Drosophila melanogaster: one gene and its partners. The protein of the gene in region 3 interacts with the protein of the main gene of each other region in a pairwise test. Each region holds a gene or a part of one and is shown on either strand. Other genes may lie near its edges.

The links.
Region 1: the proteins of CG13287 (region 3) and Jon99Ciii interact in a two-hybrid assay, tested with the Drosophila melanogaster proteins (one large-scale study listed by BioGRID).
Region 2: the proteins of CG13287 (region 3) and Polr3K interact in a two-hybrid assay, tested with the Drosophila melanogaster proteins (one large-scale study listed by BioGRID).
Region 4: the proteins of CG13287 (region 3) and Hr38 interact in a two-hybrid assay, tested with the Drosophila melanogaster proteins (one large-scale study listed by BioGRID).

Annotation. Positions count from the first base shown.
Region 1 is NT_033777.3:29,918,654-29,924,663, forward strand, and holds Jon99Ciii (jonah 99Ciii), read left to right. Parts: upstream 1-3,562; 5' UTR 3,563-3,588; coding exon 3,589-4,386; 3' UTR 4,387-4,802; downstream 4,803-6,010. Other genes in the region: trp (transient receptor potential), read right to left, coding at 1-78, 173-374, 762-904, 966-1,203, 1,262-1,410; Jon99Cii (jonah 99Cii), read right to left, coding at 5,137-5,934. UniProt on the Drosophila melanogaster protein: Major function may be to aid in digestion.
Region 2 is NT_033778.4:20,639,554-20,645,330, forward strand, and holds Polr3K (RNA polymerase III subunit K), read right to left. Parts: upstream 4,233-5,777; 5' UTR 4,172-4,232; coding exon 4,031-4,171; intron 3,956-4,030; coding exon 3,770-3,955; coding exon of another isoform or gene 3,024-3,769; 3' UTR 2,913-3,023; downstream 1-2,912. Other genes in the region: rig (rigor mortis), read right to left, coding at 1-1,028; maf-S, read left to right, coding at 1,533-1,565, 1,613-1,993; CG11110 (uncharacterized protein), read left to right, coding at 2,284-2,377, 2,443-2,864; Tcs1 (Threonyl-carbamoyl synthesis 1), read right to left, coding at 3,024-3,770; DMAP1 (DNA methyltransferase 1 associated protein 1), read left to right, coding at 4,618-4,718, 4,776-5,165, 5,226-5,777.
Region 3 is NT_037436.4:5,879,578-5,885,830, reverse strand, and holds CG13287 (uncharacterized protein), read right to left. Parts: upstream 3,528-6,253; 5' UTR 3,425-3,527; coding exon 2,039-3,424; coding exon of another isoform or gene 2,012-2,038; 3' UTR 1,741-2,011; downstream 1-1,740.
Region 4 is NT_033779.5:20,710,044-20,717,170, forward strand, and holds the start of Hr38 (hormone receptor-like in 38), read right to left. Parts: upstream 4,546-7,127; 5' UTR 3,427-4,545; coding exon 2,994-3,426; intron 2,258-2,993; exon of another isoform or gene 1,159-2,257; intron 964-1,158; exon of another isoform or gene 53-963; intron 1-52. UniProt on the Drosophila melanogaster protein: Binds to NGFI-B response elements. Plays an important role in late stages of epidermal metamorphosis.

The DNA of each region.
Region 1 (6,010 bases), on a different chromosome or scaffold from region 3:
CATCACCTCGAGTTCCATGGATGTGCGTGCGTGATCCAGGAGCGAGGTCCCGAAGTCCTGCACCATCTGACGCATCTCCTGTTGGGCAAACACAAACAAAGGCTCGCATTCGCATTCGCATAGACTCTAGTGGCACACTGGCCACCGCTTACATTGCACACTACTACCGTACCGTGTATTCGGCACGAAACTCCGATTCCATCGCCTGCAGGCGCTTGAGTTCCCAGGACAATTGGAAGGCGGTCAGTACAGGGTCCCGGGAGCTGAGCGCTATCAGCGAGCTGGCGGACAGGGCGCGGTATGCGTTGATCCTCGACTGCGAGTGGCGCAGGGAGTCCGTCATCTGGGAGGTCACACACTCATCGCAGCCGCACCTAGAAACAATTGAGATTAAGCGATGATATACAAAGTGTACGGAACCCAAGAGTTCTATAATAATAAATACATTTAAATCAATCTGAAAGGAGTACAAAGGACCTTCTCTCCTAGCAAGGACATTTATGACGCTGTTAAAGGCTTGAGTCCATTGACCCAATTTAAGAACATTCAAGGACCTGCTCTTCCCACACACAACATTACACCCTGTATTAATATTTCACCCTAATTTGCCCGCAATTATCTAAAATTAGAGGCACCCAGCGATGTGCTACATAAGTGTGTTGCCAATTGGACAAACAATGGAACGTGCCGCTCGAAGGACGAGGAAGCTCACTACATAGCCATATCACCGAGCAACTGCATCCCTACACCACCCCACTCACTTGACGTCGTGCGGCATGGGCAGCGTGGCCCCGCGATCCAGGAGGATTTTGAGTATCTCGTAGTTATTTCGGTGGGCGGCCAGGATAAGGGGCGTGATGTCCACGGTGAAGGTGGACTTGGAGCGGTCCACCGCCTCCCAGCTCTGCCAAAGGAGGGGAAAAGAGTAAGAGTTGTGGCATATTCTGCGGCAGGATGTGACCTACGTATGGCTGGCCCTCCTTGTGGTTGGTCTCCTCCCACTGCAGCAGCTCCTCCACCGCCTCCACATACTCCTCCGAGATGGCGTGCAACAGGGCGTCGCCCACCTCGATGTTATGCTCCAGCAGGATCACCATCAGGTCGAAGTTCTCGTTCTCGATGGCCGAAATGAGGGCGGAGCGGTTCATGGGATCCGTGCAGTTAATGTTGAACTTGTCCGTGCCCTGGTACTCCTCGAGGATCCTTCAAGGACGAAATCATATTAGCCGAGTTACTCGAAGCCATAGGGAGGAAGCCTCACTTCTTGACACCTGGCAAGTCACCCCGCTCGCAGGACAATATGAAATTCTTCTCCACATCGCTGAGGATGTACTCCTCGGCCATCATCAGGTCGTAATCCAGGCGAGACCCCAACGCCTTCTCGGCATCGGATTCCGTATTGCTGCCCATATCTGCACTGATTTACTGGTCTATGCGAACGCGATTATCAGGATCGGATCACTCGGTCACTTCACATCTCACAAACACTATGGGCATTTATCCCTGCTCCTCGGGGAGCCTTGGCGTAATCCTTTCGCGCACTGTATCCTTTAGTGTTCCATCGTGGCGATGTTCCGCCTCCAATTAGCCGCGTTGCACTGCTGAAAAGTGGCAGCCACGGGTCGCTATATTCCACTAATTACATTAGTGCCCAATGTGGCTAAAACTCGGTCAATGTGTGGGCGAACCCCGAGTCAATGGGCCCATTTGACCGCACTTCGGTAATTGTGGGGCTGCATTTGGAGGCAGCAACCGATTTTAGCGATTTCAGTTCAGGAATCTTTCGTCCATTTGTGGTTGCATTGCACGTGATGAGCGACTTTCGATTTTCGAAGCCCCAGCAACGGAATCGCACCACTTTTATGCCTGAAAATCCAAATCAATACTGCCCAGTGGGTTTATATGTAAGTGAAAAACAAAACGTGCTAAATGGAACAATATTATCTGCTTATATTTCGATGAAATGATGCATACAGTTGAGATATGAAATTAAATAGGTGTCTAATATTTTGTACCCAGCAATATAGATCAATGCCCAAAAAAAAAATACGCACTTTGCATACTTTTTGACACCTATTCAAGCCGAAATTCAAAGCTACTTAATATTCAAAAAGTAGCATGAGGGTGTTAATTTGCGAGTAAATAGGGATTCATGGACTTGGGTTCATATCCTAGAACTATTCACCGAGAAAAGCCCTTAAAAATAGGAGAAAATGCAAGCTTTTAAGCTTTTGGCTAACCAACAGAGCCGGAAAACACACCACACCTGCAGTTTACAGTCGAGTATCTACCGAATTGAAATGATTTCGAATGCCTTTTGGGCACTGGGTCAGTGATTCTGACTTTGTGATTGATGAATATTGATTAATCTGCATGGGAAGTGGGAGGGGGAGGTGGGGTGGTGTACATCTAAGACCCAACTCGTCCTTGGCAGCCGAGCGTCTTGAGCCTTGAATGTTGAATGTTGCTTACTTCAGGGCGCTCGCAGGGCTTTTGTGTGTCAATGCACTTGGAACTAAATGCCAGCTCCTGGCTAAAGGCGGAGAAAAGGAAAAGGAACAAGCCCACTTTCACGGAGCAGCCCTTTGAGATGAATGTGTGTGTTCGAAAGGTGGGGTTCAATGGAGCTCCGGGCGGAATGGCATCGTACGTGTTCAAGTCGTACGGGGTTTTTAGCGGGGCCAATGCACTCCACACTCCACTCGCATGGCTTCCAAGAGAAGAGGAAGGAAGTGATGGTGGCCCAAGGAATTTCAAAATTAAAGTCACAGCTGTCGAGGGGAACTCATTAAGTGCGAATTAATTAGAGGCCATAGCTGAAAATACCTGGATGGCATTCTCGTAATTATATAAAGGTACTCCTCATTACACAAATGTGGCTAAATGCACATTCTTCTTATAAGTTCCCATTAACTAAATGCTATGTTGGGTTTATACATGATTTTCTGCAGTGTACAACTGGGTTGCACTCAATGATTCATTGGCCTCCAACAAAACTCCTGCCTTATTTAGCTTTTAAGGACCCTTGTGAGTTATGTGCTCAGTTCTCCACGAGAAAAGCGAAAGAGCTCATTTTCCCTGGGTTTGCGTAGCAGGTTGCACTTTCACTGTCTCCCCACCGGAAACCGTCAAGATTGCGGGATAAAATTCATTTTATGGCCATCTGTATTAAAATTATATCTCTAAGCCCTCAACATGATCGTAAAAATCTATAGTATCAATGCTGATTTGCTTTATGGCACCGATAAGATACTTATGTGTTTAAACAAATTGAATGTACCCACGTAGAAAATGATTTTATGAATTGCATCCGATGAGTAGTATTTAACATTAAATTTATTGTATTTTTAACTGATTCGCAAATCATTGAACACTGATAAGTTTACGTTTTTTATATTGCTGTACAAGCCTCTGCGTTGTTTATTTTTTGTCTTTTTGCTCCTATGTAATCTGGATGACATTAATTTACTGCCCTCCAGCTCAACATATGGGTAGTTTGACACTTGGTCAAGATAAGACAAGGGACTTCTTCTGTATATAAAGGCGCTTCGACATCGGAACACCATTGAGTTGCAAGACTTGACCAAGATGAAACTGTTCGTATTCCTGGCCTTGGCCGTGGCCGCAGCTACTGCTGTGCCCGCTCCCGCCCAGAAGCTGACCCCGACGCCCATCAAGGACATTCAGGGTCGCATCACCAACGGCTACCCAGCCTACGAGGGCAAGGTGCCTTACATCGTGGGTCTGCTCTTCAGCGGCAACGGAAACTGGTGGTGCGGTGGCTCGATCATCGGCAACACCTGGGTCCTGACCGCCGCTCACTGCACCAACGGAGCCAGTGGAGTGACCATCAACTACGGAGCCAGCATCCGCACCCAGCCCCAGTACACCCACTGGGTGGGCAGTGGCGACATCATCCAGCACCACCACTACAACAGCGGCAACCTGCACAACGACATCTCCCTGATCCGTACCCCGCACGTCGACTTCTGGAGCCTGGTCAACAAGGTTGAGCTGCCCAGCTACAACGACCGCTACCAGGACTACGCCGGATGGTGGGCCGTGGCCTCCGGATGGGGCGGCACCTACGATGGCAGCCCACTGCCCGACTGGCTCCAGTCCGTCGATGTCCAGATCATTTCCCAAAGTGATTGCAGCCGCACCTGGTCTCTCCACGACAACATGATCTGCATCAACACTGACGGAGGCAAGTCCACCTGCGGAGGCGACTCTGGTGGCCCCCTGGTTACACACGACGGCAACCGCCTGGTCGGAGTGACTTCCTTCGGATCCGCCGCTGGCTGCCAGTCTGGTGCTCCCGCCGTCTTCAGCCGCGTCACCGGATACCTGGACTGGATCCGCGACAACACCGGCATCTCCTACTAAGCAGTTGATGTTCCTTAATTCTGAGGGGTTTCTTCAATAAACGATTATAGCAAGCAACTCAAGTTCTGTTTTTGGGATGGGATTCAGATGTCTTCTTGCTTAAGTAATGAAATCAATAAAATATTTCCAAGTGAAGGGAAATATATTAAACTGCAAACGGAAATAAACTTATTCCGATTTCCGATTTATGTATCGGAAAAAATCAAGCTTTAGGAACACATAATGACGAACCATCGGACTATATGCAAATATATATATATGGATCATACGTCTTATTATTATGTATTATTATTATGTATTGTTTATAATTATTATGTATATTATGTATATAAAAAGCAAACTGGATTGAAAATGGTGTATGTAGAATATTGGACTTGTTATATTTGCAACATAATTAAAGTGCATAAACATAATATAAATTTATGTTATTATAAATAGCTGCAAGTGGACTTTCCTAGCTTAAACAGTTTTAAATATAGGAATACCCTATAGTCGCTACTAGCGTTCAACAGCTATCATATGGATAGAATATAAAAATAGGATATAAAAATAAGTTAAACAATCTCGTTTTAAAAACATTTAAGGAAAATATGAGATTACTTTTAGTTTTATAATATATGTACATTTAATGTACATAATAGAATATATAAATATTTAGCTCTCAATAATGTGCCCCTCAATCTACAACTGAATAAATAGTTTGGTCGAATTTTTCATTTTTGCTATAATCGTTTATTGAACATCAACTGCTTAGTAGGAGATGCCGGTGTTGTCGCGGATCCAGTCCAGGTATCCGGTGACGCGGCTGAAGACGGCGGGAGCACCAGACTGGCAGCCAGCGGCGGATCCGAAGGAGGTCACTCCGACCAGGCGGTTGCCGTCGTGTGTAACCAGGGGGCCACCAGAGTCGCCTCCGCAGGTGGACTTGCCTCCGTCAGTGTTGATGCAGATCATGTTGTCGTGGAGAGACCAGGTGCGGCTGCAATCACTTTGGGAAATGATCTGGACATCGACGGACTGGAGCCAGTCGGGCAGTGGGCTGCCATCGTAGGTGCCGCCCCATCCGGAGGCCACGGCCCACCATCCGGCGTAGTCCTGGTAGCGGTCGTTGTAGCTGGGCAGCTCAACCTTGTTGACCAGGCTCCAGAAGTCGACGTGCGGGGTACGGATCAGGGAGATGTCGTTGTGCAGGTTGCCGCTGTTGTAGTGGTGGTGCTGGATGATGTCGCCACTGCCCACCCAGTGGGTGTACTGGGGCTGGGTGCGGATGCTGGCTCCGTAGTTGATGGTCACTCCACTGGCTCCGTTGGTGCAGTGGGCGGCGGTCAGGACCCAGGTGTTGCCGATGATCGAGCCACCGCACCACCAGTTTCCGTTGCCGCTGAAGAGCAGACCCACGATGTAGGGCACCTTGCCCTCGTAGGCTGGGTAGCCGTTGGTGATGCGACCCTGAATGTCCTTGATGGGCGTCGGGGTCAGCTTCTGGGCGGGAGCGGGCACAGCAGTAGCTGCGGCCACGGCCAAGGCCAGGAATACGAACAGTTTCATCTTGGTCAAGTCTTGCAACTCAATGGTGTTCCGATGTCGAAGCGCCTTTATATACAGAAGTGGTCCGTAGTCTTAT
Region 2 (5,777 bases), on a different chromosome or scaffold from region 3:
GGCTCGCAGTCATGCAGCGTGACCTCCACGTGCTGCGTTTTATCCTCCTGGCGACTGGCTAAGAGTTCGGCTTTCACACTCTCGCAGGCCTCAACGAAATCTAAGACAGCGGCACCAGCTGGCTTCTCTAGACCCACAAATTCGCCGCCACAATCCTCTGAAGATTTGCGGCGGCGTTCAGCTATAGGTGCACCGAACTCGTACTCAAGATGATCAAAGTTGTATATGTCGAAAGGGTCGTCGGATTCGGCTGCCTTCGATTTGGTCAGTGGTGGTGGCTTTGTCTTGGGTTTCTCCTCCTGGCCGCCATTGCGGCTTCGCCACTCTTCAGCACTTAACGCCAGATTATTGGTTTTTTCGTCCTCGGCAGCAGGCACCTCCCGCCAGGCTAAGCCGCATATGGGCGCTTTGTGGCCGTGGAACTTGTAGACGATGTTCATTTTGCGCAGATCGCAGACCAGCACATTACCCATAGCCGTTCCCACAGCGAACAAATTGTCATTGTAGGGCGAGCAGCGCACCATAGTGAGTTGGTGATTTCGGGGCGAGATGAAAGTGGAGCGACGGCAGTAGGTGTTGGATGCCACACAATAGATGACCAGATCACTGGCGTCCATGGATAGAATGTTACCATTGGCCAGGTAGCTCATCAGCACGGAGTTGGTAGTGTGGTGCACGACGCGCACATCCCGCGCCTCGTGCTGGTGCTGATGGGCCTTGTGCCCGATGACGGCTTCGCCCAATGCGCAGTCCCACACCTGAACGCTTAGATCGTCGCCCACAATGGCGAATGGCTTGGTCGGCCCACCGTTGCCCAAGCCCCACATGGGACTAACGTCCAGGGCCAGTATGTTGATCCGCGTCGACATGGTCACCACTTGGGGCTGCTCTCCGTTTGCCGGCGGCGCGGATATGTAGTTGATGCAGCGAATGCCGGCGTACAGCAAACCGCCGTCGGGAGCAGCGGCCGCCAAAGATACGTTGCCCGGCGGTGTGGGCACATTGTGGTACATCACCTGCGAGTTCATGGCGAACAATAAGGACTTGGCATCTGCAGGATGAAGGAATATTTCCCGCTAACAGTTGGCGTCGTTCGGGGAAAAAACTTCTGTAAAGCTGTTAGTGTTAGGCAGCTTCTTAAACTTTGCCAGCGATGCCACCTGGAAGGCACGGAACTTAACAGTTAATTAAAATTGATAATAATTAAAATATAAATTTGTTATTTTCGAACTTGTATTTATAACAAAAATCTGGATCTGCTTTATATAAATAATTTAAAAATATAACTAAGTACCTTATGCTACAAAGCCTAAAATCTAGGGATCACGTTAGCTTTAGTATATTTAAATTACCCGCTATTTACCACAGACGTTTTTTGTCTATCTGCCAACTCTATGCAATCCATTTCCTGTGAATGGCAACCAGCAGGTAGAGAGGAAGAAGAAGACACACAATAACAACGCAAAAAAAAAAGGTAGAAAAATCTAGCAAATTCTAAAAGTCTCCGTAAAAATAAAATACAATCGGCCACAATGGAAGCAAAGCGCGAGAGAAAGTCATCCCTGGTACGTACCTTGTAGATATATGCGAAGAAGAAAGAAAACCCTGATAGAAGTGCGATTTTCAGGCACCACTTTCGCCATGTCCAATTCCGGATATTACCGATGACGATTTGGTGAGCATTTCGGTAAGGGATCTTAATCGGACCCTCAAGATGCGTGGCCTGAACCGCGAGGAGATCGTTCGGATGAAGCAGCGCCGGAGAACCTTAAAGAATCGCGGATACGCAGCCAGTTGCCGCATCAAGAGAATCGAACAGAAGGACGAGCTGGAGACTAAGAAGTCGTACGAGTGGACGGAACTGGAGCAGATGCACGAGGACAACGAGCAGGTGCGCCGCGAGGTGTCCAACTGGAAGAACAAGTACAAGGCGCTGCTGCAGTTCGCCATCCAGAACGAGATACCCATTCCCAGCGAGCTGGAGGGCTGCTGAACGATTGCCCAGTCACATTCCTGTTTCTGTCAAAATTACAATAAACCCAAAACGGAAAAAAACACCTGTAACTAAAGTACAATAGCTGGCAAATATCCTTCCTCAATAAACGTAATCTGCTCAAGAACCTCTGCATCGCCTTTATTGAAGCACCCTGTATTTAGCATAAACAAAACCCGTGTCGGCGCTGCGCTGCGAATGTCATAAGATCCGGAGCGCACAAGGAACTCGGCAAAAGGCTGGTGGTTATGTATTCATCTCGATAGCTCCGCTCTCCAACCAGTTCATCCATGGCATTTCGGTTCTTTGGCAAGTCCTTGCTGTACGCTCTGCCACTTGGCGTCACTTTCCTGGACTGCGTTGGTTATGTGGCCAGGGTGGATGGTGAGTCGTCCGGAGTTTATTCGCTCCATGTTAGTGTGCGCTAATTAATCCACAACTTTTTGCAGGCATCTCCATGCAGCCCGCTCTCAATCCCGTGCCGGATGAAAAGGACTATGTGTTCCTGCTGCGCTGGGGCACCCACAACAGTCAGGTGGAGCGCGGCGACATAATATCGCTCATTTCACCCAAGGATCCCGCCCAGAAGATTATCAAGCGCGTGGTGGGGCTGCAGGGCGACGTCGTGTCCACGCTGGGCTACAAGCACGAGATCGTTCGCGTACCCGAAGGACATTGTTGGGTGGAGGGCGATCACACAGGCCACTCCATGGACAGCAATACCTTTGGACCCGTCGCCCTGGGCCTGATGTCCGCGCGGGCAGTGGCCATCGTGTGGCCACCGGAACGCTGGCGAATACTGGAGAACGAACTGCCGCGGCGACGGAGACCCATACAGGCCTCCAAGAACTCCAGCAACTACTACAACTAGACTGACCAACTGGCGGAGAGCCTGCGCCCAAGATAGTTCCAATTGTGTACATACTGAACCGTATATTTTATAAACAATTTGTTGTGTTCCCGCATGCAAAGCAAAGTAGGATGTTCCAAAGTAAAAATTAAAGTTAAAGCCAAAGGAATAGCTCTTATACTACATCATTTTTAGCTCCCGAATGCCGAACTCCTCCATGAGGCTGAGTGTCGGCTTGAGAGCCACGCCGGCGCGCACTATTTCATAGTAGCCAGGAGTGGCCAGGTCAATGACCGTGGAGGCCAGTCGTCGCTCCTCGGTCAGACCGATTCGACCGGCATCGAAGACGGCGCCCAATTGGGGCCATAGGGAACGGAACTCGGACACCTGCAGACTGCTGGGCGCACTGGAGCGATTGGCGCTGGTCAGGGCCAGGGGCTTCTCCTGCCACACGGCGCACAGGTCGCGCATGAAGTTGAAGTCCGGAATGCGTATGCCGATTTTGGAGGTGCTGGGATTAAGGAAACGGTTGCTCAGCTGGGACGTCCGCTCGATCACGATGGTCAGGGGGCCCGGGAGCAAACGAGTTAGCAGCTCGTCGCTGAGATGGGCAGCCTGACCAAAGCGTCGCAACGCATCGATGTTGTGAACGCAGATGGCCACGGGCTTGTGTTCATCGCGACCCTTAATCTCGTAGAGCTGCTGTATGGCTGTCTCGTTGTTGGCATCGCAGGCCAGGCCATACACGGTATCGGTGGGCAGGGCAATCACTTGGCCACCAAGCAGGCACTGGCGGGCCAACTGGAGAGCAGCCTCGTCGCCCACCGCGCACACTGGAGTCCTCAGCTCGCTCGCTTGGTGCTGCATTCTGCTGGATGTGTGGTGAGCACGGAGCAGTCGATAAAGGCTCGTTTGAAGGCGGCGCATTAGTCTCGCCAGGTGTGGTTGCACTCGTGGTTGCAGCACTTGTAAAACGTGGTCATGGGCTCATCCGCCGACCGCGTCTGGATTTGCATAAAGTACGCCCGCTTATGGCCGCACGTTGGACACTCTGCGTCCGTGGAGTCTACGTTCTCCCACGCCGCCTTGCCGCCCAGCACGTGATCCACCTCCTGGAAACACAGATTATCAGAGATATTATCATAAATTCGTAGCAAATTGCATCATCCAGTGGAAAATGATCATACCTTGAGGCGTGGAAAGGTTTTCGTGGAGATCTTGCGCCTGATCTTCGATATGTACGGGCAGGTGTTGCACGTGAAGCGATGGCAGTTGGTGTCCTCCTCGATAATCAATATATTTCCGCACGACGGGCAGAAAAACAACATAGTTTCGGAGAATCCGAATCCGCGCTGTTTAGTTTTTTGATTTGAGCACGTTGAATTCTCAGTGTGACCGCGTATACGCTTAGATATACTAACTCAATAACATCACAATGTATACTGCAATACCATATGTTCCACCGTTCCTCCATAGATGCTAATTTGAAGCACATTATAATAATTAATTAATAAATTAATTATTTGTAATAAATAAAAAATATTTTCAAATACTGTTTGAAAATTTCATGTTCGGAATTTAGTGAATTTATTACTTAGCCCTAGCATATACTAACTGTATATTTTATGGTGAAATAAACGTATTTACCATCTTATAGTTTACGGTCATACTAATAGCATTATAAGAAATTTTGTTCGTTTTGCAAAAAACTATCAAAATAAACAATAAGCAACTCAATTTTTAGCAGACATTAGAGTAGCAAAAGTTTTAAATCATGTCGGCCGATGTGCGTGATATTCTGGACATGGAGCGTGCCAACACGCCCGAGGTGACGCGGGATTCGTTTCTGGCCACCAAGAAGCGCAACTTTGAGCGGTAAACAAATGCATTTACATGTGTGCGATTCTCTAATTTACAATTTAATCATTTTAGGACCAAGACTGCGTCCCGGCGTCCGGAGGGCATGCATAGGGAGGTGTTTGCCCTGCTCTACACAGACAAGAAAGATGCTCCGCCTCTCCTGCCCACGGATACCGCTCTGGGAATCGGAGCGGGATACAAAGAGACGAAGGCCCGCCTGGGCATGAAGAAGGTGCGCAAGTGGGAGTGGGCGCCCTTTTCGAATCCGGCACGTAACGATTCGGCGGTTTTTCACCACTGGAAACGAGTCACCGACAATTCCACCGACTATCCGTTCGCCAAGTTCAACAAGCAACTGGAGGTGCCCTCGTACACGATGACGGAGTACAATGCCCACTTAAGGAACAACATCAACAACTGGAGCAAGGTGCAGACCGATCACCTATTCGACCTGGCCAGAAGGTAGACTCTTCATTAGACTTCTTATTAAGTAGCCAAAATTGTAAGCCATTTGATTTGCAGGTTCGATCTTCGCTTCATTGTGATGGCAGATCGTTGGAACCGTCAGCAGCATGGAACCAAAACTGTGGAGGAGCTCAAAGAACGCTACTATGAGGTGGTCGCTCTGCTCGCCAAGGCCAAGAATCAGACGAGTGAGAAGAAAGTATTTGTGTATGACGTCGAGCACGAACGGCGCCGCAAGGAGCAGCTGGAGAAGCTGTTCAAACGCACGACACAACAGGTGGAGGAGGAGAATATGCTTATCAACGAGATGAAGAAAATCGAGGCGCGCAAAAAGGAACGCGAGCGCAAGACACAAGACTTGCAGAAGCTTATTTCGCAAGCGGATCAGCAGAATGAGCACGCATCGAATACGCCGAGTACGCGAAAGTACGAGAAGAAGCTGCACAAAAAGAAGGTACATCAGCAGCCGCGACCCTCCAGGGTGGACTCGGTGGTTAATGCCATAGAGATCGGTAGCAGCGGCATCAAGTTCGCCGACCTGCGCGGTTCCGGGGTTTCTCTGCGCTCGCAGAGGATGAAGCTGCCGGCGAATATCGGCCAGCGCAAAGT
Region 3 (6,253 bases):
ATGGAACTGTCTGTCTTGCCATTCTGGATGCGGTGGCTTCCTTGGGTAAATGAAATGGGGAAATGTGATTTTGACGATGTGTTCGCTTTACGGCAATGGAAGTTCATATGGGTGGCGCTTGTTTGTTTTCGAGGGCGTCGGAAGTTGTAATTGTTTTTTAAAGGAAGCCTGAATTGCTCATTGGGGAAATGCACGAAATAAATCAAGACGAGTGACTATAAACGGGATATCTCGGAATGGGCGGTAAAATAAAACTTGAATTGTCTTCAAATTTTTTGCCTCAGCCAGGATTTTGGCAAAAAGAACTGAGCTAGTGAGATGTCTGTTAAAATCAAGACAATACTTGCGGCATCATGAAAATTATTACCATTATTATTAGGAACTTAGATTAGAAATGTTGATAGATTTGCACACGTTATTACTCCAATATTATTGATAATAAGCTTTTATTTTAGGTGTTGCTCCTTACAGGCTTACCACCTTGTACCCCAAGTCCTTTTATCTCTTCACCTTAATGCTCCACACCAATTTGCTTACATTAACTTTCCCAGCAATTGTTTTCCACCCCCCACTCCAGCCATGTGAAAGGAGCTTGGAAAATGTCTTTATCAAGTGGCAAGCAGCGAACACAAAGCCATAAAATGCTAATCCCATCATGGGAACAATGAGCAGAGCGGATCGGAGCAGAGCGTTTGCCGTTTAGCGATGCCATCAATTGATACATCAGTCGATAAGGCAGGAAGACGTCCTGTGAGAATCCTGGCTGGCTGCTTGGCTTCTGTGGCACGGGGCTAACAGGATTTGGCCACGCTAAATCAACGCAATTCGATGTGGCTCATTTGAGTGCAGCAACGAGCCAAGGAAATCGCTGGGGGAGCAGCCACCACCCAAGGAATTCGTTGCGCTTTGTAGGAATTTGCTACGCTACAAATTCGAGGCTCATGGGAACTGAATTCCGGAGGGTTGGCAAGTGTGGAAATATTGAAATTCGAAATACATTTTTGCCAAAAACTGCACTAGTACTCCGCGATGATGGGTTATCCTGGAAGCTCGTCGTATTCGTCGCGCCGTCTAAACGAATGACTGCCTTTTTTGGGCGCAGGACAACCCCGAAGTATCCTTTCATCTTGTTACAATTTCGGTTCCCAGCTCATTAGCGTCGGCGTCGCAGTTTTTGTGGCCGCATCTAATTGCTGCATGCGGCCAAAATGAATACTGCTGAATCGCAACTACAGAATTCACTGCCTCACTGCGCTAATAAGTTGAACATATTCTTCGCTCTACTAACATGGCGTATGTTACTTTTGGTACCCGCGAAAATCTGGTGCTTTTTCTGGTCCTGGGAGCCTATGTTTTCGGTCTACCTCACAATCGAAATAATGGGTTGTCCGGCCAGGAATTCAAAGAACTCCATATGCTGCCAAATCAAGATATCTTCGTCTTCTAGAATCCCTGGTTTGGGATTCTTTTTTTCAAAAATTAATTGAATTTTAAGCTCGGTTGTCTTTTGGGATTTCTTATTAAGGTGGCGTCTATATAAGCTTAATCACATTATTTCGAAAGCATAGACAACTCATTGGCTTTTGTTTAAGCTTTTCAAAAATATTTGATTGCAATAATCCTCAAGCTCATTTTCATAACATGATTTTAGAATACTTCAGATCTACTACAAGATAAAATTTCCCATTAACCCAAATTTTATTAATAAAACGTGATTACTATTGAATTGGCATAACAATTAGATTTTTATTGAAACATTCAGCCACACATTGAATTTGCAACTTAGCCATAATATCTTACAATGATGAAACTGAAGATCCTTTCGGGTCCTTCGATAAGAAAGATAATTAATTGAGATACAGGGAGATCCAGTTACATATTTAAGATACAAATTGCACTACATTTAAAGCTAAGGGGAAATTAAATCGGAGCGTGGGGGAAACTAAAGTTAATATCACAATCGAAAATGGGCAACGGGTTTTGTTTTTGGGGAGTTAGTTGACTTGATGACTTAAAAATATCCGAAGAAATGCTTCGATCATTTGGGCATACCACCCATTCGGCGACCTGGCGGTGTGCCGCCGACCACGTTGATGATCTCGTTGTCACCGGCAGATGAGGATGAGTCCTCCAGCTGCGGCTGGTGATCACTGGCCTTGTCCTGGTGGGCGGTCATGTGTCGCGTTAGATGGTGTCGCTCCCTGAAAGTCTCCTGGCAGACGGGACATCGGAGTTTCTCCTCCCGCTTCCGTCGATTTGGATCGCAGGCCACTTCGCTTTTGTGATGGGATCGCATGTGATACACCAGATCACTGGTCATCCGGAAACTTATGTTGCACTTGGCGCACACATTCTGAGCGGTCAGTGTAAAAGTGGATGCCAATGTGGGTGGAATCAACGTGGAGAGAATGGCTGCTGCAGCGGGATTCTGGAGAGGTTGGGATACCGCGAATGGATGTGGTGGCGGAGCAAATCCGGGATAGGCATGCAGGAACTCCGACGGTGGACCCGGTGGTGAGTTTGCCTGCATAGTAGGTCCTCCTCCATTGGGATTTCCAGGTCCTGGTGGACGGGTGTACAACAACTGCTGCTTAAGGCGCTGCTGTGCCTGCAGAGCCTGCATGGGATTCACCGCCTGGAAGGCTCCGTTGAACTGATACTCCGGTCGGAAGTTGTGGTAGACTATGGGATTTGCTGGCAGGGGATTTGGATTCTGGCCACCGCTATTGGTTCTTGGTGGAGGTGTCACCAATGGTGGACTTATCGAGTGACAGCTTAGCTGATCGGGACTCAAGGGCGGAGCTCCCGCATCCACGGGTGATTCCAAACGTGAAGTGGTCGATGGTGAGGATGATGAAGTGGACAGCGACGAGGAGGCTACTTTGGTAAAAGCGCTGCGCATGGGCGGTGGTGGTGAAGAAGTTGATGGTGCCTCTGGAGAATCCACCAGGGGTATGACCACACTGGGATCATCATAAACCCGCGGCGAACGGATGCTGATCTGTGGATACCGCTGGCGTGCCTCCAACAGACTAATGTACTCCAGTGCCGCCGGCGAAGGTGGTTGCGAGGAGGTTCCTCGAGGAGACAAATCTGTGGGATAGTGGCTCATCTGCTGCTGCTGCTGTTGGTGGTGATGATGGTGCAGTGCCTCTTGAAGGCGAGCCTGCTTCTCGGCCTGCTTTTGCTTAATCCGTTCATCGGGCATCATGAGGAAGGCCACATCGAAGGCGCGTTTAAGAGTGGTCTTTCCACCCGGTGGCGATGTGGGTGTCTCATTGTTGTTATTGTGATTAGTGGTTTGATTTTGCTGCGGTGACTGTTGCGGTGATGTGGAGATCCTAAGCTCGGCGTGCTGAGGCGGCGTTGGGCGACGCTGGCCAGGATTCGCGTGCGACGGCATGCTATCCATGAGCAGATTCATTTTCACTTCAATACACTTTTCGACTTTCACTTGGCTCTGGTAGGGACTTTGGGTCTTTGGTTCTATACAGTTCCTTGCGATTCGAAATTCCAGTTTCGACTGCTGGCCGCCCGCAATCTGTTCCTCTTTAAGTACCCGCTGCCACAACCACCGCGTCCAGTTGGAATTCTCGTATTCTCATATTGTCCCATTCAATTGGGAAAAAGCAACTCTCCGCACTCGCGGCACTTGGCCCATCTGTCCTGATTCTGCTCGGAGTCTGTTCAGATTCAGGTCCTGCAGAGAGCACCACCCTTATGTTCCTGCTCTTGCTCTTTCACTCCCGCTTGTCCTCTCTTTCTCCAGCGGTCTTCTCTCTCTTTCTTTGGCCCACTCTCCGTCTCTCCAGCGTTCCATCTGCTTTGCCAGTTGGCGAACATATTCTGTGGTTTTATTGTGCGAGTCCTAGCCAGGACGACTCCTGGTTGGCTAGCATTCACGGACAGGTTGGCTTGTTCGAAAACCTTGTTGTGCTGTATGTGATGCATTGGTACAATGGGCAATGTTGTTGTTAAAGTTGTGTGATATTATTTAAAAAACTTAATTGATTAAACTTAGAAGGATTTGAAACTAGGGTCATCTATATGAGAAGTTACTCTTATTCATTCAAAAGAGTTGAATATCTTGAAGTAGTTGCGCTTAAACTTCATTAGGTAAATGTTTTCAAATATTTTACAATAAATAAAACTTTTTCGCATGGTTTCCATTTAGATTTTTACCAAAACATTATATTTTACTAAATTATTTTCCCTGTTCCGCCCACTGTGCACTCATCTCTTTTCGCAAGGAGGCGGTGCTTGATCCTGGCCGCTCTCTCGCTTGCTCTCTCTCTCGATTTGCCTCTCACACCCACCCCGAAAATATGGCAGGACCTGCCCTCTCTGTCTGGCTCTATGCCCGTCTCTGTCGGTGGTGATGTCCTTGTTGCAAGTGTTTCCGAACAGGTTGTTTTTGTCGATTTTTTAGCAGTTCCAGCGAGATTGTGTGAATATGTGGCCATGTTTTGTGCTGGTGTATTTGTTGCGTTTGTTGCTGCTGGCTTGGATTTTGAGTATATGCTGCGCGTAGCTTTTACATATTGCCAACTACACACACACACACACACACACACGCTCTGGAATTGGGGTTCCCCCGTTTTGTAGGCGACTGTTGAGCGTCGAAATCTTTCAACATACCGAAATATTTATTTGTCAGTTAAGTTAGCGCTATGTGGAAAAAGTGGCAAGTGCCCAGTAAATATGCACATGCAACAATAGCAAATTGTGCAATGCCTTCCGTTCGTTTTCCGTCTCGTTCTGATCCCCCGTTTATTTCCCTTTTTTCCGGCTAGACCCTAGATCCTGGCAGACCGGATGCAAGGATGTGGCCATTGCCAGGACAAAATATGTGTCTGTTATGGTCAGTCGTGAACAGGGTTTGCAGCTATGGGGTGTATGTATATTTTATTTAAATTTTCGACTCTTTTGTTGCACTTTTTGCTTGCAGCCATGTGGCTGCAGCAGCGGCAATTTAATGTTTGCATATTTTCAGGTGCTAATTGTTCCACTTGCCATATGAGTTGCATTTTTAATTAATATTTATAGCCAACAGCCGAGTGTGCGAGTGTGCGTGTGTGTGTGTATGGGTGCATTTGAGTATCTGTGTGCTGGAGCCTATAATTCGCATGGTCGCCATGTTGGCTGTCGACGAAATTAATATTAAACACATGATTGCCTTCCAACATGGCCATTTCATTAAAAATATTGTTTAGCTTGTATTTAATTAATTGCCGATCGAACAATGCAAGCTCAACCCATGGGCTGATGTGATTTTAAATTGATAAATAAAATGGGATATTCAAATGTTTGGTGCAGTTGATGCTTAAAGCTTATGGAAAATCATTTTAAAATATATAAGAATTAATTGGGTTACCCAAGCCTATTAAATGCTGGAGTCTGAGTAAGTTAAACTATATCTGATCAGTTATCTTATCTTACATCGGACCAATTTCCTCAATATATTACTTATTGTCACATCTCACCAGAAATTACCCCCATTTCAATTGGACTCTCACATATGTGACACGTGTGCACAATTGAAGTCAAGTGAAAATCCCGAACACATTCTCAGTTCATTGCAGTAAATATTTTCAGCGCAAACTAATGAAAATCTCCGATATACAAATCGAGCACAAAATTTCCACTAAACCCAAAGGCTTATCTACCCCTGCTGATCTCGCTCTATTGCTAACTAGATGATTTTGTCTTGTCACTGAGCCAGGGGATGGAACTTTAGGTGGGTTGGTTGTTTGGTTTAGCGCCTGTCGATACATCAAACTGCCAAGTGACAAAGTGATTGCCCCGTTGTCAGGCCGAGACAAAGCGCAAAAAGGCGTGAAATTGCCTTTGTGTGATTAAGTCGAGACCGAAGGAAATGCGAGCAAAAGCGAGGAAATGTCCCAGGAAGCAAATTAAAAACTAAGATGGCAATCTCTCGACTCAAGTTTAGACACAGCTACGTGCTCCTTATGCCCGGGCATAGCATCCTCGCCGGGTTTCAATTATCCTTGGTAAGATAGCAAAATGTAAATGCTAATTGCTTCAAGTTTAGCGTAGAGCTGGCTACGTTTATTCCGGAGACAGCAGACACCTTTTCCGTGGAGATTGTGGCCTCGGTTGATGTTAATGTGCTGCCTGTCTCCCGTAATCTTTGTGTTTTGTGTGGAAATCCTGGAGGAAACAGCTTCTTGCTGCCTGGAGATCTAAGCGAACTAAGTGCACAGAAAAGTAAAATTGTCGAACTTCTGCATGT
Region 4 (7,127 bases), on a different chromosome or scaffold from region 3:
GAATTGATGACTGTTTAATGGAGTTGGACAGGTGATTTCGATTTGTTAAGCGGGCTTTGGGTTAAGTATCTAATGGATATCACATCATTTTACTATTTGGTATTGCTTTTGTAAACTACTTTTATTTTCTTGTTCTAAGTCCACTATTAGCGGAACTAAATGCCCATCGAATCGGGCATTAGCTCAGCCCAACCGAAGAACAAAGAGCTCGTGGACATGGAAAAATGTTCAGATCCTAACCATGTTAGTGGGCTATCCGACTAACGCCTTTCGATCCACCTGTGCCACCGTCTGTGTATGTTTGCTCATGTGTTTGGCCAAAGAAAACGAAACTTGGAAGGTGACTACTGGTCTTGGCAGATGAAGCTGCTCCGGGGAAACCGGTGTGCAGGGTGGTGTGAGCGGGGATGGTTTACATTTTCGCAGCGGTGTGGAGTGTCTCTACGAGTATGAGGAATGGCCAAAAGAGGCAACAATCAACAATGGCCATCCCGACAGCTGCCGCGGAGATAACTCACAACGCACGACGGATCGTGAATAACTACACAATGAAGGGGCTACGATATATTTTGTATCTAAATTTTTTCGGGTGTCATAGATATGTGAGTAGTTAGGTATTTTGTGTTTTGCATCATTTATCAAGCTCGTTTCGCTGGGGTTAATCAGTAAGGGAAGCCGCGATCATCTCGATCCCTGGCCAAGTGCATCGAACGTCTATATATGTGCGGCTCGGGCGGACCTTTTGCCGGGTCGCTTTGGGCCATGTTGAAATGCAATTGGCTACGCCCAAGAGATGTTGCCATGTTGAACGGGGCGTATGAGCAATCAAGGCAAATCGGAAAGAAAAGAGTAAAAGCAACAGTGTTTTCACACGCCCCGCCGTGAGCATCGAACAAAAACACAACTAAAAACAAAATCGAAATGTGACTAGTCGTAGGAATAAGAAATACGCTGACTTGTGATAATACTGCAGGCATACAGCCAACTCATCCCCGAAATAAGACGTCATCAGCACGTGGCCAGCCATAAATATAATGAAAATAAAATCGAACCAATTATGAGATATATATATATATATATAAATAGATACACATTTAGGGATGCAGCTGACGCAAAGAGAGTGCAATCTTTTCACGGTTTCGTCATATATTTTCGTTTTCGGCGCGACGATGACGTTTTCAGCACTCGTGCCTCGGGAAAACACCCGTAATGTGAAAACTGTGTGCCGCCTAATCCGTTAAACTGGCCGATTTCATGGCCCCGCTGGCGTCATGGCTTAAATACTATATACCACAACTAGTGGATGCACCTCACCTGGTCATATGTTCTTCGGCGATTTGTTTTGCTCTGGTTTGTCATCCGATGTCGGGCACTTTTGGCGCCCATCGCCATTATGGTACTATATAGCCAACTTATAAATATAGATGTTTGTTTTGCCACGTCTAATAGTCAACTGAGTCTAGTGCATTTCGCCCTGCATTTTCACTTCTGCAATCGATTGGCAACCCTCGGTTTAGTGTTTAACTGCATTTCACCATAGAAACTAATTTTCTACTTGGGTAGTTGTTTCAAAAAACCTATCCGAAGACTATCGAAAGGATACCTATCCATATGTAGCGCATGATAATCATTCTGTAATATTGACAATTAAATCAATTTAGAATGTGCATATAGTAGATTCCTGTGAATTGAAGGCTCACATGGCCCACTTGCAGTTGAAAACGCTAACCGCAGAGTGCTTAAAAGCTGATTGCTGGGAAACACTTAATGGGCGCTAAGTTAGCCGCAAAATACAGTCGCTTAAGAAGCGGCTAACAAGTGGCTAACCGACTTTGCCGCAGCGAATGAATTGGCAAAGCCTTTCAAGCCGTTTAGTAAGCCCAATAATCGGATGCCCCACCGCCGGGCGCCCTAACACCACCCACCGAACCAACCACCCACTCGGCAATGAAATGATCGATCTATCTTTCCCATGCTTGAGCTTCAATCGGCGATGTTTTTTTTATGCGGTTATTAATAAAAATGCATTGGCCATCCCTAGCCGTCGATAGTGAGTATCTGTGTGGAAATCGGACGCACTGCATCTGTGTGCGGTGTTTATTGTGCAGCTTGTAAATCATTTTGCGTCAGGCTGCGTCCGCTGCCGTCTGCTGAAACTGCGGCGCTTTGCTGACGCTGGTAAACATGTGTACGACACCAAAAACAGCAGCACATGCTCACCGAGAGCCAAGACGGGTCTGCACACACAACTAAGGTCAAAGTGGTGGTAATTGATTTAAGCCCGTCTTTACAGTTCGGTATAGTTGCCTCAATTAATTTTATGCAAATGCACTAAATTTCATAGCATACAATTTTTAATGCAAATGATAGCTTGAAACTAATTCTGATGTAACTATACAATTAATTTTATTAATGCACTAAATTTCATAGCATACAATTTTTAATGCAAATGATAGCTTGAAACTAATTCTGATGTGCTTAAAAAAAAACTATACCGAACATTTTTAGAGCTGCCTTTAATAGTACTCCAAATGCTTAAACTTTTTAATTGTTAAATCATTTTTGAATCATAATCCAAGAATTTTTAAAGTTCTCTGCCTCATTTTCTTGACCTCTACTGTGGTTGCTCTCGTATTTTGCGAATGGAAGCTTAATATTTTCACCATTTTTATGATGCATTTTGAGCAGTTTTCATGCAAATTTATGTCGTCATTGTGCGTTGTCCAACCTACCCCCACCAGCCACGCCCCCTTTTTTATTCAAGTTGCATTTTTCAGATTTTTTCCCGACCTGCCTTCTCAAACGGATTGAGCAAACAGTTAGCTTCTTGGCCGATTTGGCAATGCGCGCTGCACATTGCGTATACGCCGCGTGTGCTATTAGCGAATTAGAAGAAAACACCACAGCGGCGTTTGAGTTTGGAAAATACAAAAAAACAAAAAACGAAAAAGTCACCAACACCGATAAGCCGAAAGGGAAAACCAAATACATACATGTGTTTCCATTGGCAAAAAAGTGGCTGTTGCCGGGTGAGCTGGAGGTGGAGTTCGAGTCTGAGTTGCAGTTGGAGTTGGAGTTGGAGGAACTGCAGCAGGCCAGGTGATTGATATCGCAACCGTCGGGAAAGAGGTTGCGGCAGGGGTAAATCAAAGGCAGAGTCGGCAGAGGCGGCGGCAAGAGGGGATGTTGCTGGTGTGTTTGGTGCTGCTGTGCGTGTTGCAGGTGTGATGTGTGTGACTGCTGGTGTGTCGGGGCATTGAGGTTCTGTCTGTAGCAGGAGTTGTTGTTGATCTCCTGGAACAAACTGCTCTCGGTGTACAGTGAGGCCTCGCACTTAATGGCCGTTGCCTGGTGGTGGCTAATGCTCGTGTTGCTGCCGCCCTCTTGCTTCACCACAATCAGCGAGGCAAGCCGATCGCGCATCATAGACCACGATTCTCCGTTAAAGAACCCAAAATTAACAATGATGTTGATGGTGATGATGGGACACAAACATAAAACGCACACAGGACGGGACAACACAGATCACACACTATATGGTTTCTAAATAGGCACCTGTTTGGCGCCCCGAGCGGCGCTGGTGATCCAGCACGACTGTTCCGAGTTGGGCTGGGATTTTGCCTCAATTTTCTTGGCTGCGGCAGGAGTGGCCGAAGCTTTTGTCGCAGTAGCTCTGATTGCAGTAGTTATTATCGGGCTTCATTTTTCTGTCCTTGCCCGGCTGTTGTTTTTGTTGTGTGTCCTTAGACTTGAACTTGCCTCCTTTTTTTTTTGGCTTTTTTCTTGTTGCCTTTCCTTTTTTCCGGCGTTTGCGCAGTGGCCAAGTGACGATGTAAGCGACGTAACGACTTACGCACGCTATACTATATCAACTGGGGTCTCTATATACATATACATATATATTCGGTTGTGGTAGTTGCAGTAGTGGGAGGCACAAGGACGTTGCTTACACTTTACACACTGATACACACACGCGCGCAATGGGCAACACAAAAACAATTACTACTGTTCTTCAGCTCACGTGCTCGTTAAAATGTTAGCAAAACTTTCAGTTCAAAAATATCTGTGTCTTGTCTCTCAGAAATGAAACGAAATTTGAATTACTATAGATTAATTTACTGCACATTCGCAGCGGGGTAAGATAGATTAAACAAACATACGCAGCGTTGCCCACCGAAATATATGCATTGTTCGCTTAAGAAAGGTAAAGGTGAAGTATACGCCGCGTTGTCAACCGTTGGAAGTTATTACGCATACGCCGCGCTGTCGACCGGCTTCCGTTTCCGCATAGAACGAATGCACGAATCGATAAAGAACAACAACTTGTTGCAATTGTTTAACTCTTGAGCACTCACACCTATGTTGGCTTTGTGTTTCGTTAATACTGAACGCGATGTTTATATAGTTGTGTGGATTAAAGTCTTAGTTGGCTGACTTAAGATCGGAAATTCAGAACCATCGAGCTCGCCTCGATATAAGTTCTATATTTTGTATTGGCTTTTCCGTGAGCGGTGGCTGTTTGGGCTAAAGTTGTTAACAATGCGGCGTCTGTGACGCGACTGAACTTATCTTTACGGTTACACGCGACTATATTCAACGCGTCGCGTCGACAGCGCTGCCTCAGCTGGCGCCGTGCTGCGCTCGCGAGAGCGAGTGAGAGCGAGAGTGAGTGTGCGATGGAGAGGGAGGGGCGACGGCAAGCGAGCGGGACACGACCTACCTTTGCGGCCCGGCTATTACGTCATTTGGGGCCAACAACTGAGCGCAGCTCGTGCGAGGAAAATCGATGACGTCGTTGGCAGAGCGCCTGCGCCGGAAAATCCCCTCCACCCATTTTCAGCGACCGATTTTCCGAATGCAGTCCAGTGGGACAGTTCGGAAGCGGAAATTATGTGCGTCATAAAACCGACGTTGGCCATCCCTTTTGCTCGCATCTGAGATTGATTGGGGCTCTTGGTGCCGTTTCACCTGCTCCGGCTTACCACTCCGCCACCCACTTTTCCGCTTTTCCAACCGCCCACTGGGTATCCACTTCTCGCCTGCTGCCAAAACTTCCGTTTCTCTCAGTTATCGTACACAGGAAACATGTTTATTAATTTCAGGATATATAAGGACGTACAATTTGTAGGAATATTCCCTTATGCACATTGTACATCATCTACACACTTGTCTTTAAATATCAATCTCTTTTCCATGTGTAGACTGTACTCTAATGCATTTATAAAAAGCATGTTTTTAATGTTGTTTGTTTTTTTATTGTTTGTCTTAAACTACATATTCTTCTCAGTGTACTAAGTCTGTGTGGGCATTCTGTGGTGTCGTTTTGGTGGAAAGGACTTCCTTGCTCTCGTGTGTGTGGGTGTATTCAAAGCAAAGGAAAATGGACCAGATTTCGAGGAATATGTTTATGTGAGTCAATCCCATGATGGTGAGCGTGGGTGGAAAAGTAAAGCTATCATGTTAAATAGGAAGATAGAAATTTCGAAAAGAATAACAAGTATCATATGGCAAGAATTCAATATTCTATTTATAGTGATTTACTACTTTTGAATTTGGTTTATATTTATGCTATATAATATAATTTATAATTATGCTATAAATATTTCAAATTGAAATTGATATGCAAAACGGACTTTTAGCCTAGAAATGAGTCTGGTTTTCCTTTCAACTTAAATCACGATTTTATATTTATCTCAGTTACCCGCTTTTATTCCCTATTTCACTCCAAGTGCTAAGACAAATCGATTTCACACAAGATCCCAGGCCAATTTCGCTTTTCCACTTAACAAAATACCATCCTGCCACTTCATAAACCAGATCACTCTTTCCTCATCCCCAAATATAAATAAGCTGCGCCACAAATCATTTGGCCGATATAACTGGCAATAACACGATCCGAGCGATTTTCCCGCCCCGCGAGCCGTCGGAAAAGCGGGAATATTAATGCACTTTACCATTGACACCGGCGTTTGCAGCTCGTAAACAACAACGAGGAAAACAATAATAACGCAAAGCCAGTACAAATCTTCTCTCCCAAGATCGGCGACACACGACTAGAGAACGGTAAACCCGAAGACGCGGCGTCGACCGCGCTGCCAGCGTCGACTGCACAGAGAGTGAGAGTCTTGGCGCTCGGCACCCGAACCCAAATCCAAATCTTCGGGATCCGCAGACTCGTCTTTGCGGCGGCGACGTCTTCTGGCGTTTAAGGTTTCGTTTTCATTCGGCTTGTCGGCTTGTCGGCATGTCGGCCGCTCGTGTGCTGGACTGCATTCGCTGTGGCTATTTTTAGACAGGTTCCAAGCCACGTTTTCTAACTGTTGTTAGCGTACGAACCGGAGATCGCGGGCTGTGCACTTGGGCCTCTCCATGTGGAAGCCGCAGACAAAACGTGAGATCGCTGAGTCGGCCGGCCGACTGCTGCGTCGACCGCGACAGAGCCGAGCGACTTGGCTTTCTGGGCGCAGTGGCTCTTCCTTTCGTTTTCGGCTACATTTTTTCCCATAATGCTTTTGCCCGGGTCTCGCGGCTCTGGGTCCGGCTCACACTGCGGCCCATTGTGGCTCCGGGGTGCGGTGTGCTGTAATGTGCCGCTCTGTGGTGTGGCTTCCCATGTACATATATATTATTGTAGTTGGATTTGGGAGCGACGCAAGTGGAACTGGTCTGTGGCAGGCACCATGTGCATTCAGCACAGTGGCTGTGGATCACTCGTAAAAGGATGATGCCTCTCCATGGCTATTAAAGAAGTAGTTTCTAGGATAATGTGGTACTACCACTAGAGGTAATGAGTAGTGTTCCTAGTTATTACTCCGTTTATTCCCGATCTTTATCTATTTTTGTTATAATCTATATCTATAATCTTAAAAGCAGCTTTAGTGGCATTTCTATATTCATTTCATTGTAATATGAGAAATGGAAATATCCACGTTACTCATTAGTGGATGTTAATGGTCAGAGTTTTAGTAGTTCCATGGCGTATTAAGCTTTCTAGAAACCGCCTCCAAATCATATGGACTCTAAGCCACTGTTTCGGCCAGCTTTCTTGCTGTTGTCGATGGTGCTGTCGCTGTTCCTTTGGCGATTATGGTGGTGGCAGAGGTGGAGGTGGTGGTGGTGGTTCCAGT